2 linked regions of the Drosophila melanogaster genome follow. Changing the gene in region 1 together with any one later gene gives a genetic interaction. Each region holds a gene or a part of one and is shown on either strand. Other genes may lie near its edges.

Evidence for each region.
Region 2: of Pcl (region 1) and Abd-B, changing one enhances a phenotype caused by changing the other (phenotypic enhancement), as found in Drosophila melanogaster (2 studies listed by BioGRID).

The regions. Positions count from the first base shown.
Region 1 is NT_033778.4:18,133,772-18,140,490, forward strand, and holds Pcl (polycomblike), read left to right. Parts: upstream 1-1,654; 5' UTR 1,655-2,152; coding exon 2,153-3,640; intron 3,641-3,699; coding exon 3,700-3,872; intron 3,873-3,927; coding exon 3,928-5,002; intron 5,003-5,069; coding exon 5,070-5,465; 3' UTR 5,466-6,219; downstream 6,220-6,719. Other genes in the region: Hsf (heat shock factor), read right to left, coding at 100-309. UniProt on the Drosophila melanogaster protein: Polycomb group (PcG) protein.
Region 2 is NT_033777.3:16,928,212-16,936,225, reverse strand, and holds the start of Abd-B (abdominal B), read left to right. Parts: upstream 1-1,983; 5' UTR 1,984-3,194; coding exon 3,195-3,855; intron 3,856-4,612; coding exon 4,613-4,824; intron 4,825-4,908; coding exon 4,909-5,110; intron 5,111-6,373; coding exon 6,374-6,588; intron 6,589-6,645; coding exon 6,646-6,837; coding exon of another isoform or gene 6,838-6,996; 3' UTR 6,997-8,014. UniProt on the Drosophila melanogaster protein: Sequence-specific transcription factor which is part of a developmental regulatory system that provides cells with specific positional identities on the anterior-posterior axis.

The DNA.
Region 1 (6,719 bases):
GCATGGCCAAGTCATTGTTGTTGCCATGCTGATTAGCGGTATGTGGTGGGAGGGGAGTCCCTGGAAAGGTAAATAAACAATATGGCGGCGTAGGCTTACCTTGGTCCAGCAAATCAAGCGATTGGTATCGGCATCGTCCACCAGGCGCCACAATTTGGCCAAAAAGGCCGGCACCCCGCTTCCGATGGCCGCGGCGTCTCCGTAAGAGTGCATTCTCCTGGAAGGCAGCTGCTCCTCCTCGTCTTCTTCCTCTTCCTCCGATTCGTGCTTGAACTGCACGGCTTTAGCGGATGAACGCGACCTGGACATAAAGTGACCAGCAGCCTGGAAAGGAGTACTACTCAATGAATTCACTGCACACCAACACCAACACAAACGCTTTTTTTCCAGTTTACAGTTCACTTTTCCACGCCGCTGTATGTGTGTGTGTTTAAGTGTGTGTATGGGTGCGGGAATCAGTGTGCGTGTCCAGGTACACCATACATATGTAAAATGTACATATGGGTACAATTTTGATGTGAAAGTTGCAGCTCTGATCGAATCGAATGTTTTCGGTTGCAGCCAAGTGCGTCATTCGAGCCACCAACTTGCACAAATGGAGCTCCAGTTCTTCTTCTCCTGCTCAACCTACTTACCTTAACAATTTTGCAGCTCACAAACCTTTCGCGAAGTGAAAAACTCGCGTTTTACTTGTTTAGTTTAGTTATTACACTTCACTTTCTTGGCGTACCGCTTTTGTTTTACACAGTTCTTCGGTTTTTAAGTGCTTTTTCGCGTTTTATTCACAAGTGAAAATTTAATGAAACCTCCGTCAAGTAAAATTGCTTCTGTTCGCAGCGTGACCAATTTGGTAAAAACCTATCGAACTAAAGTTCGCTGCTATATATACCATTGCTAGCTGTCTGCTTGGTCCTCTGGTTTTTATCTAGTATTTTCTGGCGCGCAACTTCGTATTCATATAATTGACCCCAATTACTAGATGATCATTATACTAAAAACTTATCAAATTCTGTTATTTGTTTTTAAAGCTAGTATTGATATGTGTACCCATAACATTAATTGATAGGCAACTGTCGATTTTAATACGGCAGACCAAAGGATAGGGATTTTAGTATTTGGTATTTTCTATTTGATATCTTTAAGATAATTATGAGTTAAAATTAAAATTAGTTGGTTTGATTTTAGATAAGTTGTACATAAAAGCATACAAAGGGCATACTTACTAAAAAAATTAACATTCATTTTGAAATTTCTATAGGATTTACTTTGACAATCAAAAAGTTTTACCTTAATATAAATGTTAGTTTTATTTTTTTTAATTTGATTTAATAATTGTCACTCTACATTTAAAATGTAAATTATGTATGATATTAACGTTTTTGAATCTTTAGGAAATATTTAAATGTATTTTCTAGTATTTTCCAGGACGAGACCGCTGAGTCTTTGCCGGCACAGTGGGGATAATTAAGTAAATTTATGGTATATTTTATACGTTTCGATATATTTAAAAATATAAAAATGTAAAATTGTGGTGACAAATTTCCAATATTTCTTTATTTATTTTAATCAAGTTAATTTTATTACCATAACATACATAAGTTGTGGTAGATTTATATATGAAAATGTAACGAAAAGAACAATTGTTGGATGCGGTCACACTGGTGGGCATATGTTGAAAAATGGCTGACACAAATTAATTTTCAAGTGATTTGTTTTGTGCATTTTCGCTGGTGTTAAAGATGAACTTGGGACAACGACGTTCAAAGCCGATAGCCGAATCAATAAGAGCAAAATGCTAATTTAATGCACGATTCGAAACACACTTAAAGGTGGGTAAATCGGCAACCGAAACTAGAAGTGCCTGTGGTGCGTGTGGAAAAGTACGAATGAGGAAGACACAGAGAATACAAAAGGGCCCGCTCTCCAGTCCGTATGTGTAGCAAAAGTGTGCATGTATGTGTCGGCGGGCAACAACAAATTCGACGAAAAAGGCGCCAGATTAATGAGCTCGTGTTAATCAGCGGGAAACAATCGCAAAATCAATGAAAAAACGGGCCGCGAAAAGCCGGCAAATCGAACTGAAGATCCATATTTTTCACAAAAGACTGCGCACTGGAAAAATCAACGCATCTAGCACGCACACACAGCCGCAATGATGAACAACCATTTTCACTTGCAACACGATCATCCACCGCAGAACGTGGCACATCCGTTCATGCAACAGCCGAGTACCGCTGTCCCATCAGCTCCTCCGGCCACCTACGGCTACTTAGCACAGCCAGCTGGCCAGCAGCCGCAGTGGATGACGACCACCTACCAGATCCTGCCGCCCAGCGTAGGACCTGCCACGGTGGCCAAGCGATACTATGCCACCACTGGGCCGCAGACCACGCATCCCACACATCCCAGCACCATCCAGATCACGAACAGTTTCGCTCAGCAATCAACGCCACCGAAGCAACAGGCGGCAACAAGCTGCAGCCCATTCAAGGCCAACAACATACGAATCATCTCGACGGCGCCAAGTGTATACAGTCTGAATAAGCCGCCACAGGAAGCGCACTCCACATATGCTCCCGTTCAGTCGTACTACTTGCCCAGTGGCGGTGGCCAAACTGCGGGACAAATCAATCTACTGGCGGCCAGCGGAACTGGCAAGCAACTGCAGCCGCCGCCGCTGGTGCCTGTGACCAATTCCACCTCACCGCCCTCCACCGTCGTGTTAGACCGCATAAACATTTGCATCAATAACCACTATACGGAGACGCCCACTTCGCTAAGTTCATCGCTTACCACGGCCCAACAACCTTCGCCCATCATACCGGCCATCCAGCACAAGGCCATCCTGCCCCTCATCGACAGCAGCACGGCGGATAGCAGCAGCTGCAGCAGCAGTTCTGTATCCAGCAGCAGTTATAGTGGTACCGCGACCACCTCAGCAGCAGTTGTGATTGTGGATGAGCCGGATTCTACGACCACAACGCCACAGACACCGCCAACTACGCCGGAGGCCATGAGTTCACCCGGTAAAAGTTCGCCCTCGCCTCCGCTACTAGCCACGCAATCGCTGCTCAAAGGCGTCAACTCAATGAAGCCAAGCTTCAAGACCGTCGAAGCAGCACCGCCAACGCCGCCAACACCTCCATCACCACCACCACCGCCGCCGGCACCACCAGTTGCCGCTCCCTCGCCAGCGGTCACGTATGCGCTTCAGGAGGACGTCTTCATCAAATGCAACGATGGCAGATTTTACCTGGGCACCATTATTGACCAGACAAGCGATCAATATCTTATCCGCTTTGATGACCAGTCGGAGCAATGGTGTGAACCGGATAAGCTGCGCAAGCTAGGTGGCGGTAGCTCGATTACCGCTGGCGGAGGCGGTGCCTCTACCACGGAATCCACGAATACCTCCCCCAGTGGACCCATGTGCGTGGCCTGCAAGCGATCGGATATCGAAGATGTGGTCGAAATTTGCGAGCGCTGCGGACGTGGCTACCATCGTGGTTGCACCGTTGAAATTGTTACTGGCAGTGGAATTTGGAGTTGCAAACGCTGCGCTAAACCCATGAAAATGCAACAGCCTGTCAGCCATAAGATCACAAAACCAGCGGGAATTTGTCGCCAGTTGCCCTACCATGTGAGTATTCTACGAACCCAAGCCAGCGGATTAGATTCTTAATCCGGTTTTACCCACAGGCGGATAAGCTCAGCTGGGATGAGAAGCATCGGGTCAACGAAGAGCAGATCTACTGCTACTGCGGCAAACCGGGAAAATTCGATCACAATATGCTGCAGTGCTGCAAATGTCGGAACTGGTTCCACACCCAATGCATGCAGAACTTCAAGAAGAAGCTGCTGCGCGGCGATATGTACGTATTCAATTGCTTTACTGTGATCTAAACTGAAATGAATCTCATTGTCTAGGTTCTTTGTTTTCTGCTGCACGGTCTGCAACAATGGCATAGAATTCGTTCGTCGTATGCAAATCGAATGGGTGGATGTGCTCCACATTGCACTATACAATCTGCGAAAGCATCAGCACCAGAAGTACCATCACCTGCTAAATGACATTTGGCCCTTCATACTCGAGCAGCGCCACCAGCTGCCTATCTGCGAGAAGTGGCGCACACTGCCCGAAACGGCACTGATGGAGCGTCTCAAGCAAACCCTTAAGGATTACTCTGACAGATTTGTTTGCGGCAGGGAGTTTAAAAGGGCTCCGGCCTTCTATGCACTGAGACACAGTGGCCCGCCACACATTCCCAAGGTATTCCTTGAGCCCCACGAGGAGCTGTCCGATGAGCTGCTCGAAAAAAGATTTAAACTAATGCTCATGCCCGAGGAGCCTGATGAAGGTGCCAACGAGCTTCCGAAAAGAGTTCCCAAAGATGTGTATGAGTTTAATACAGATGAAGATGACCCAGTCGAGACCAGCGAGGACGAAATACCCATCAAACAGATTATTGAGAAGGCCAAAAAGCAGGCCGCTCAGAAGGCCGATAAGCATGATGAGTTGCCACTGAAGCCGGACCTCGCCGACGACAATGCCAACGATGGCGATCCCGGCAAACTACCAGCTCCCATTCCACCTCTGCTGGACGCAAACAGCAGTCGGAAGCGCAAGGCTTTCCGATTGTCCAAACGCTATGACAACAGCCGCAATCACTGTGATCTATCATCCGACGAGAATTCAAGCAGCAGTCGGGGAACCAGTTCGTTGGACCTCATCATACCACCGCCGGTCAACTTTTTGGGACGCAACAATCCATTCCTTATGGCCACTCCCAAAAAGGCGTCGCAGGGACGAAGTATTTCTGTGGGAACTGGAGTCGGAGTAAATGGCATCATAAACAGCATTTTCAAGCTTAAGGGCACCTCCAAGGAGCAGCCGCGCATGGTGCGCACCATCAAGCGAAGACTGAGTGCCAAAGACATTACGATAGGGCCCAATCAGGAAGTGCGCAGACGACGCACTCGCCGCCTGACCACGGCCATTGAGGTAAGAGTTTAACTAACAACAATGTAACTATAATGTTTGAGATGTTTTTTTCGTTTCCACTTAATAGGTCATCAGCACCACCACCATCAATCCCATACCCAGCCACTACCTTCCTATCTATGCCAAAGATCTGCAGCCACCCGCGCCGCCAATGGGAAAGCCGACACATGGGCGCCTGTTGCGCCAGCGACCACAGAAGCAGTCACCCAGCCAAAGCCGCCGGAACTCCACCAGCTCGACGGCAACCAGCAGCAGCAGCAACGGCATTGGAGCCCCAGGACATTCCATGCTGGACTTGAAGCAGTCGGTGAACAAGTACTTTGGTGGCGCTATGAATCGCATAGATGCTGGTGAGCCCTTTGCCATTCGGGCCAAGCGGCGCATGGGAAATGGACAGGTCCAGTACCTGGTGGAGTGGGGCGGAGATACAGCGACAACGGCGATTGGATTGCTTGGAAATTGAACCCTTTGGCATACCGACTCATTATGAATTTTATATTCTTCATTTCCATTATCATTTCTTTTCGTTATTATGTATTAATGAACGCTGCCAACTACGGGCCTCTTTATTTGTTAATGTTTAAAAGTTTATTACCAACCCACTGCCAAAATAGAAAAAGATTGTTCAAAATATTGGTTCAGCATTAAAGCGATAAAATGTTAAATTGTAAAAAAAAAAAACGAAAAAAAAGCAAAAAGCAACTGAATACAGGTTATAATTGTGCAATGGCAGTTAAGTGTTGCAGCAGAACATAAATAAGTTTTCACAAAATTGGTAAAAGTATTACAAGATTAATCTGGAAGCCTATGTAAAATTCGCTGATGAATGAAAACGTATTAAATAATGAGAACAATTCAGTTAAGTTCAGTACTGTACTTTAGCGATACGCCACGCCCATGTATGTTTTTGAAAAATATACCTTCAAATGGGAAAACTCACAAATCATGTCATGCATACAAAAAAAAAACAATTGATATACATACATACACACAAATTTAATAAAATGTAGGACTAGTTCAATAATTTTCACCCATAGTCTAGGCAAAACTACACAATAATGAATTAAGCCAGTACGTTTTATGTTTAACTATTAAATGCTACGAAAAATCAAAATTGAGTTGAAAGCAAACTAATTCTCAAGCCAAGTAAATGTTTGGCCAAACCAGATCGAAATATGTTTAATGAAGTATATAATGCCCAAATAAATGTTTCCGAAATGTCAAATCTTTTAAGATTTTACTCAGGACACGCCAGTAGGCGCCCAAAGTGACACTTCGCTTTGAAGCTTGTCAGGCACCGACGCCTCACACCGCTTCATTAGGTACTCGATCGCCAGATAGGGCACATGCACCAGACGTTCAAAACGGGAAAAAGAAAAAAAAAATTATCCTCAGCCATCCTTGAATGTGGTCTATTTCGTAAAAACAAAAACACAAAAAAAAAACTTAAAAAATTCTTCAATCTCTGTAGTGCCGATTTCCATCGAGAACGAAAAGAAGTACTCAAGCACTTCTCGGAGTGTCGACTTGCAGCCTCATCGCTTTATTCTCTGATTTAGGTAAGTTCGCACAGTGGGGAATTACAAAGATGGGATTCGGTTTTCGGAGCATACGCTAATATCTGTGCAGTGCCAAAAAATCATTTTCTAAAAGTCTACGCTCATTTTTAAAAGAAAAAAAAACTGCATTCCTAATTTTGGATTGTGTTTTATGAGAC
Region 2 (8,014 bases), on another chromosome or scaffold:
TTCCTTACAGGCCGGAGAAAATAGCCAGCGATGATGAGTGGCGCCTGGTTACAGGCGGTCCTTATTGATGGCCCTTGCTGTGGTTTACTTACCAAGTTTCTGCATCTTTTTTTTTTTGCAGAACGCGTCACTGGAAGTGAGCAAACCGGTGGAGTAGATCCATCCCCATTCAGCAGCGGTGCAGACCCACCAAGCACCACCCCAGCAACAAATCTCAGCGGTGGCGTCCGGCCAAAACCACCTCGTTGCGCCGACAGCGGCGAGCATTTCTCCCTCCAGCGTCAGTTCCCATCCCACAGGTAAGCTAAAATTATAATTAGTCCGGTTTAAGCCAGATATGTATTTAAATATGTAATATTAAGGCGTTAAAATGCTACTAATAATTATAAAATGCTATTGTGCAGAGAGTTTATCCCTTTAAAATAATTCTGCGTGTTAGCAGAGTGGTTCAATAGGAAAAATGTCAATCATACTTTATTTCTATTTATAAATAAAAAAGTTGAATAATAATTTCAATCGAAGAAGTTATTTTTGGAAATAGATTGCGGCAGTTAATTACAAGTTTTGTATTATTATAAGTAGAATTCTTGAAGTTTTTTTGGGGTTTACTTGATCAACTTTGTTATGTAAGCAGTTGGACTCTTCAACTAAATGCGTGATGTGAAAAATTAAAAATGAATGTTCTGATTTCACATAAGAAATAATATTATTCGTCTCCAGTCGCGATGACTTCTGACATTTTCTTAAGCCCCTGCTCAAATGTATTATTGTAATTGCTAAGTATGGATTTTTATGCGATTGTACATACATTTTGTTGTCAAACGGGTTGAGAGTTGTTCTCATCGCATCCTTTTTACGATTTGTTAACATTTCCTTGGCCTCGACTGCGTGCCTTTTGCTTTTCTTCCAATGGCAATTGCCATAAAATTCCCATAATTGTCCATTGCAGCGTAAAATTTGGCAACTGCCTTTGGAAGTGAGACAAGGAGGGGAATCTGTAGAAGAGCCAAAAGGGAGAAAGGATGTTGAGATAGGGGTGAAAAGAGACCCGGGGTTTCCTAACAATTGGGCTGTCATAATTTGCTGACTGAACTGGCGCACGCATGTATTTGTTTAACTAATTAGCATTAATTAGTCACTGCGCTTGACGACTCGTATAATTGGTCGCGATCCATGGTCTTTATGCAGTGAGTTTTTCTGTATGTTGCTGCTGTTGTGGTAATCGATAAAAAGCGCCAACAACAAGCCAACTAACTACACACAATGTGGTGCCATCTACCACGCCTCCCCGCCCCCATTCCATCGAAATCTCGGACATAGATGGCGCTGTGGTGCGCGCGTGTTAAGTATTCAAATCAGCCCCCAGAATCGGGCAGTAAGAGCGGGCGGTGAGTCTGAGAGCGTTTTTTGTTCGTTGAAGAGCGGATGCCTTCACACGTACACTGTGCGTGTGTGTTTCGCCCTCGATGACCCCCTGTGACTTGGAGCACCTGCTGAGCTCAGCGAATTCCAGAGCCAGTCCCAGTCGAAGTGCGATACCATCTTTACCTCATTGAAGGCGCTAGTTGAAACAGTGCTATTTCCCCCAGCAACATCCAAAACTCTCTTCGGCTCCCCCCACTTACACACGCACACTCGCTGACAGTCTGGGATCCACACAGACGCTGTATACAGTGTACGTGTGCATAACGCGCCACAAGAGAGCCGCACCAACTGCCATCAACATAACATCAACCACCACCACCATCAATCTGAGTGCTTGTGCAACATGCGCATGTCCGCGCTCTCTTCCAAGTCACACGGACGGGGAGGCACACACACACACACACACACACACACACACACACACACTGGAGCGGGCTGGCGCCGCTGCGCTTAGAGTTTGTGTTCGTGTGCTGGTTCTGGTTCTGGTCTTGGTCTTGTGTTGTCGGTGTGCCGTGCCAGCGATGTGGATATGTTGTCGCCGTGCGCGTTGCTGCCGTCAGTGTAGATTTGTGCTTCGCTCTGTTCGGTTGGAAGGCGCGCGGGCGTCCAGCAGCAACAACAGCAACTACAACAACAGCCGAGGCAAGCGGCCCTGCAACTTCGTCGAGGACTGGGACTTGAACGATTTCGTACTCGCCGTCCATTCACATTCACATTCGACTGGGAGTGTTTCGTTCGAACGGTTCGAAAAATACAAGTTGAACATTTTCGAAAAATTTAACTGAAAGAAGAAACGTTTTTGGAGTCGTATAAAAAATTAAATCAAAAAACAAAAAACACAATCAAAACATCGTGTCGCCGGCGTTGTGAGGAGAAATAATAACATTTTTGTTAACTGTTGCAAACATTGCCTTTAATTGTTTGTTTTGGTCGTAAAATCAAATTTTATGACCAGCAACATAAAAAGCGAACGCCAGCAGCAGCAACAACAACGACTGCAGGCCCCACAAATAATAAACTATTTATGATAATTATAAAAGAGAGAAGAAAATCAAAAACAAACGCCAACCGAAAAAAAAAGAAAAGTGAAAAGAAAACATTAACTGACAAAGGAAAAATTGGAAAAGTTTTGGAAAATTGGATTGACCGAATGAAAACTGAAAAAAGCCAATTTGAAAATACTGCGTGAGTTGCTGACGACCGCAAGCACCCTGTGAAATTCAAGCTGATTCGATCCCCTGTGCAACAACAAAGTTACTCTCTTCGCCCGCTCTTTAGGCAGTGTGCGTGTGTGAGTAAGTCGGCGTGTGCGTGTGACCGCTGACGGACGTTTGTGTGCGTGTGCGGTACGCAAATAAAAGGGGCAAAACTCGAGTAAAGGTGCTCTGAATATTAAAAATAAAAATTATTAAGTCGCGAAAAAAATATAAAGAGACTTAAACAATTAGAAAGGCGTCACTCAGAGGAGTGAGAAAAAAAAGACAGAGAAAGGTCGGTGGGTCGAGGCGATCGACCCCACTGCACCGCCTTTATCCTCGCCGCCGCAGTTCGAGTGCAACGCGTCCAAGATAACCGTAAATATTCCACCCCTCCCCCAAACCCCAACCATCCCGCTGGCGTGCGCTCTCTACGACCCCCACGATGTCTCGGCAGTCGGGTCGCACGCCGCTGCCGGGGCGTGGTGGGGGCATCACACACACACCCACACCCACGTACCCACCGCCCCGCACCCGCATCCGCATCCCCAGGCGCATCCCTCCCTGCCCGTCATGCAGCAGCACCATCTGCAGCAGCAGCAACAGCAGCAGCAGCAGCAGGAGCAGCAGCATCTGCAGGAGCAGCAGCAGCATCTGCAGCAACTGCATCACCATGCGCACCACCACCTGCCTCAGCCTCTCCACACCACCAGCCATCACCACAGCGCGCATCCCCACCTGCAGCAGCAGCAACAGCAGCAGCAACATGCAGTCGTCGCCTCCTCACCCTCCTCGGTGCTCCAGCAGCAGCAACAGCAGTCAACTCCCACCACACATTCCACGCCCACGCATGCGGTTATGTACGAGGATCCTCCGCCTGTGCCACTTGTCGCCGTACAGCAGCAACACCTCCCCGCTCCGCAGCAGCAGCAGCAACTTCAACAGCAGCAGCAACAGCAGCAACAACAGCTGGCGACAACACCGGTGGCCGGCGCCCTCAGTCCTGCCCAAACACCCACTGGACCCTCCGCCCAACAACAGCAACATCTCACATCGCCCCACCACCAGCAACTGCCGCAGCAACAAACCCCGAACAGTGTCGCCAGCGGCGCCTCCTCGAATCTCCAGCAGCAGCAGCAACAGCAGAATGCTGCAGTTGCTCCTGGCCAGACGCAGATCGTTGCGCCGACCACGGCGAGTGTTTCTCCCTCCAGTGTTAGTTCTCAGAAGGAAGGTGAGGTCCCAGAAATATAACTTTCCTTGGGGTTGAAAACCAGCGGATTTCTTATTGGAACTCCATTGGTTATGGGCTTTCAAAGATCGTTGGGAAATATATTTTTTGAAATTTTCTACATCTGAACTGGAAAACTCTCGAAATAAATTGGGGACGTTAAATTGGGAACGGGGTCGTTCCACTTGTTTTTTTTTCCCCCCAGTTGCAATAACGTTTCAGTTGTGCTGATTGCAGCACGTTTTTCAAGGCTGATAAGGCTTTTCTTTAACTCTCCCAGGAATCGTCACGCATTTAATTTATTTACTCAAAATATTTGCGTCTGTTTTATCATTATAGACTATATAATTGCAGGGTGGTAACAACTTTAATTTTGTAAGGAAATTAAAAATTTTTAAAAATATTGTTTGTGAGTGTACTGAAGTTCTTCAAAACTGCATTGGTTTTTTTTTAAAGAGTTTACACAAAAAAAAAAATTAAACGATGATTTGAAACGTAATCGTTATGGTAACCATTTTATTACCTTAAGTGTTGACACGTGTTAAATATACAGATTTATATATAGACGAGGTGTGAATGCACCCACATCCATGACATCGACAAACAATCTAAGGGTTATAGGCACAAATGCCACGCCAAGTGATAAAATGCCAAATGATCAAGGAGGTCGATTTGATCATAGACAGTCGTTAAAATTAGACTTACCAGCCCTAGTGCCAATATTAACAGCAGCAAATCTGCGCTTATCGTTTACTTTCAGACATCAATATGTCCATACAATTAGCGCCACTGCATATACCCGCCATCCGGGCCGGTCCGGGATTCGAGACGGACACCTCGGCGGCGGTCAAGCGGCACACGGCACACTGGGCCTACAACGACGAGGGATTCAATCAGCATTACGGCTCCGGGTACTACGACCGCAAGCACATGTTCGCCTATCCTTACCCAGAAACGCAGTTTCCGGTTGGTGTAAGTATGGCCACAGCGCCACCCACGCCTCCACATCAGTTGTAAGCAACTTCGTTCCAACCCGACCTCATTTCTCCCCCGCAGCAGTACTGGGGCCCCAACTACCGCCCCGATCAGACCACCTCTGCCGCAGCGGCGGCGGCCTACATGAACGAAGCGGAGCGCCACGTGAGCGCCGCCGCCCGACAGTCCGTCGAGGGCACATCGACGTCCAGCTATGAGCCGCCCACCTACTCCTCGCCAGGCGGCCTGCGCGGCTATCCCAGCGAGAACTACTCCAGCTCAGGTGAGTCCAGACCGGCCAGAGTCGGCACACTTAAGGGTAACGAGGTTAGGCACACTGGAAATAATTTTGAGCATCTTGCAACTCTAGTTTGGGAGGAGAAATTTTAAAGATTAAAAATTAAAAATTTACTGTTTACAATTCTTAAAATTTTTAATAAAATATTTGGTTATTCATATGAAATTAAATTAAAGTGAAAAATTATACGAATTCAAAATTCTGTTTAAAAAGAGGCGTTCAAATTCCACCTAAATGTTTTTAATTGTAAAATATATATTTATAGACCGTCAAATTTTCCAATGAATCGATAATTATTTGGAAGTGTTTTTTATATGGTGCTATTATTTTTTTTCCTAAAAGCCAAGCCAATTATTTAAACAGCCCTAAAATATTAAGCATCCTACAATATAAAGTTCAAGATTATTTGATTTTCCTATGTGCACTAGACTTTTCGTCGTCGTATCGGTTGAAATAGCAAATTGCGAAACCGTCAAGTTTGTCGTTCAATTAGCGTAGTGCAAAACGGCCCATAAATCGATACTCGCTATTTGGCTAGCGTTACGCCTTTATGTGGGTGCGAAAGTCATTGGGGTTTGCATTCTATGGGGTTGCCTGTTTATGTTCGTGTCTTATCACCAGGTGTTTTTCAACTGCCAGAATTGTATCTGTCGACTAGTCATATTTTCCCAGTAGTATCCATGGTATCCATAGTAAAGACTCGTTATTATGGCGGAATATGTCAGTTAAGTGACCTCGCCAGCCAATTTTACAATTGGAATTCAGGTCTCTTAGGCTCGATAATTAATTTCCAATCTGACCTAACTGTCCTAACTGTTCAATGCTACCAAGACTAATCGAAGAAATCAGATTAGATTCGAAAAGCTCTTCACTCGTGCTGAACTAGCGTTTAAATTAAAATAAATCCAACTTGTCACTTTATTTCAACATTAATTTAATTGCTTCATTTGGTCGGCCAATGAGCGGGAACGAATGTATTCATTTAGTGTTATCCACTCGAGTGTGAATATGGGCCTCATGCCAATTCGGAGCTCCGCTCCCCGTACCGCACCAATTAAGAGGCCATAAATGAGGAATTGAATAATTTCGTATTACGCTTATTGCTAAACAATTTCCGTAATTGCTCTATAAACTTAACGATCTGATATTGCACCGAACACCGAGCAACAAAACCATCGGACCACCCGCACTTGCGGTTTAATGAAGTTAACCATGTAGTTTAACCCCATTACTTGATGATGTTTTCAGGAGCCTCTGGTGGATTATCCGTGGGAGCAGTGGGTCCTTGCACGCCCAATCCCGGACTGCACGAGTGGACCGGTCAGGTGTCCGTCCGGAAAAAGCGCAAGCCGTACTCGAAGTTCCAGACCCTGGAGCTGGAGAAGGAGTTTCTTTTCAATGCGTATGTTTCCAAGCAAAAGCGCTGGGAATTGGCCAGAAATTTGCAGCTGACCGAGCGACAGGTGAGTCCATAAACCTACTGACTTGAACTGAATTCATTAAACAGGCGTTCCTTTCAGGTCAAGATATGGTTCCAGAATCGGCGCATGAAGAACAAGAAGAACTCACAGCGCCAGGCCAATCAGCAGAACAACAACAACAATTCGAGCAGCAACCACAACCACGCGCAGGCGACCCAGCAGCACCACAGCGGCCACCACCTGAACCTTAGCCTGAACATGGGTCACCATGCCGCCAAGATGCACCAGTGACCCTTGGACAACAGCAGCGCTGGCGCCATGGGCTTTGCCACCTACTAGCAGTTAGCCAATCCGAGTTCGGGTAACCCCAGCTCGAATCCCAACCCCATGTCCGATCCGAATCACCATCATCTAATCAAGAACGAGCTGGCCATGGACTTTCCATGCTAGTCCAGCGATTGGAAGGGCGATTCCAGCCAGGCCGAGTTCAGTCGGTTAAATGTACAAAAACCAGAGATCTCTAGCATGCGGGATAGGAATATGTGACCACAATGAGGAGCAAGGATGTGGATGAGCAACTGCCCAGAAGTGCGCAGGCGTCGCTGATGTGTGACCAACCGACGTTGATGCAAATGCAGTTTATTATTAAGTCAGTTCTACGGATCCCAGAGATCCAAGCCCCAACACGATAATGCAGCTTAGTTCGGTAGTTGAATATAGATACGAGTAAGATGAAGAGTAAGCAGCAGCAGTAGCAGATGCACTTGAAATTCGCAACTGTACGAAAATATATGTATGTACGTATTTCTCTCAACGCTCTCATTAGCCTAGGCGAGCACTATGAATTTTCCGAACTATAAATTATGAATATGAATATACTTAAACGTCAGTGAATATAACCCCGCATAAATTATGAATACACGCGTTCGAGTAGTAGATTTTACCATACCTATCCAATTAAGAGCGGCCACAAGGCGGCTGAGTTAGGCTGAGCAGCAGAACACATTTTAGACCCAGATAAATGTTCTTGAAACACAAATTGAAATTGTTTAACAATTTTCGGACCCCTCACAGCTCCGCAAACAAGAAGACACACTCCGCAGTCTAGGATAAATTTTGTCGTATAATGTTCGTCGTGTCGTGTCCTTTGATACCTTCTAAGTTCCTGTATATAAACTAAGACATTGCGCTGATTTCCGGCCGAAGCGAGCACTCGATAACTAAATTACATCAGATATATGTATATGTATATTGCGTACACGCAGAGATATTCAATATTTGTATAATATGAACTCGGATTCGATTTTAGCAAATGGTTAATTGTAAGTTGCAAAAATTTCAATGAGTGTGTGCATGTTTACCCCATAGTTGAAGTCGCTTTCGAATTAAATTAACTCTTAAACCAAGGAAAACACTTAACAAAACTACTCGTAAAGCTAAAGCAACAAAAACTTAAAAGATACACACT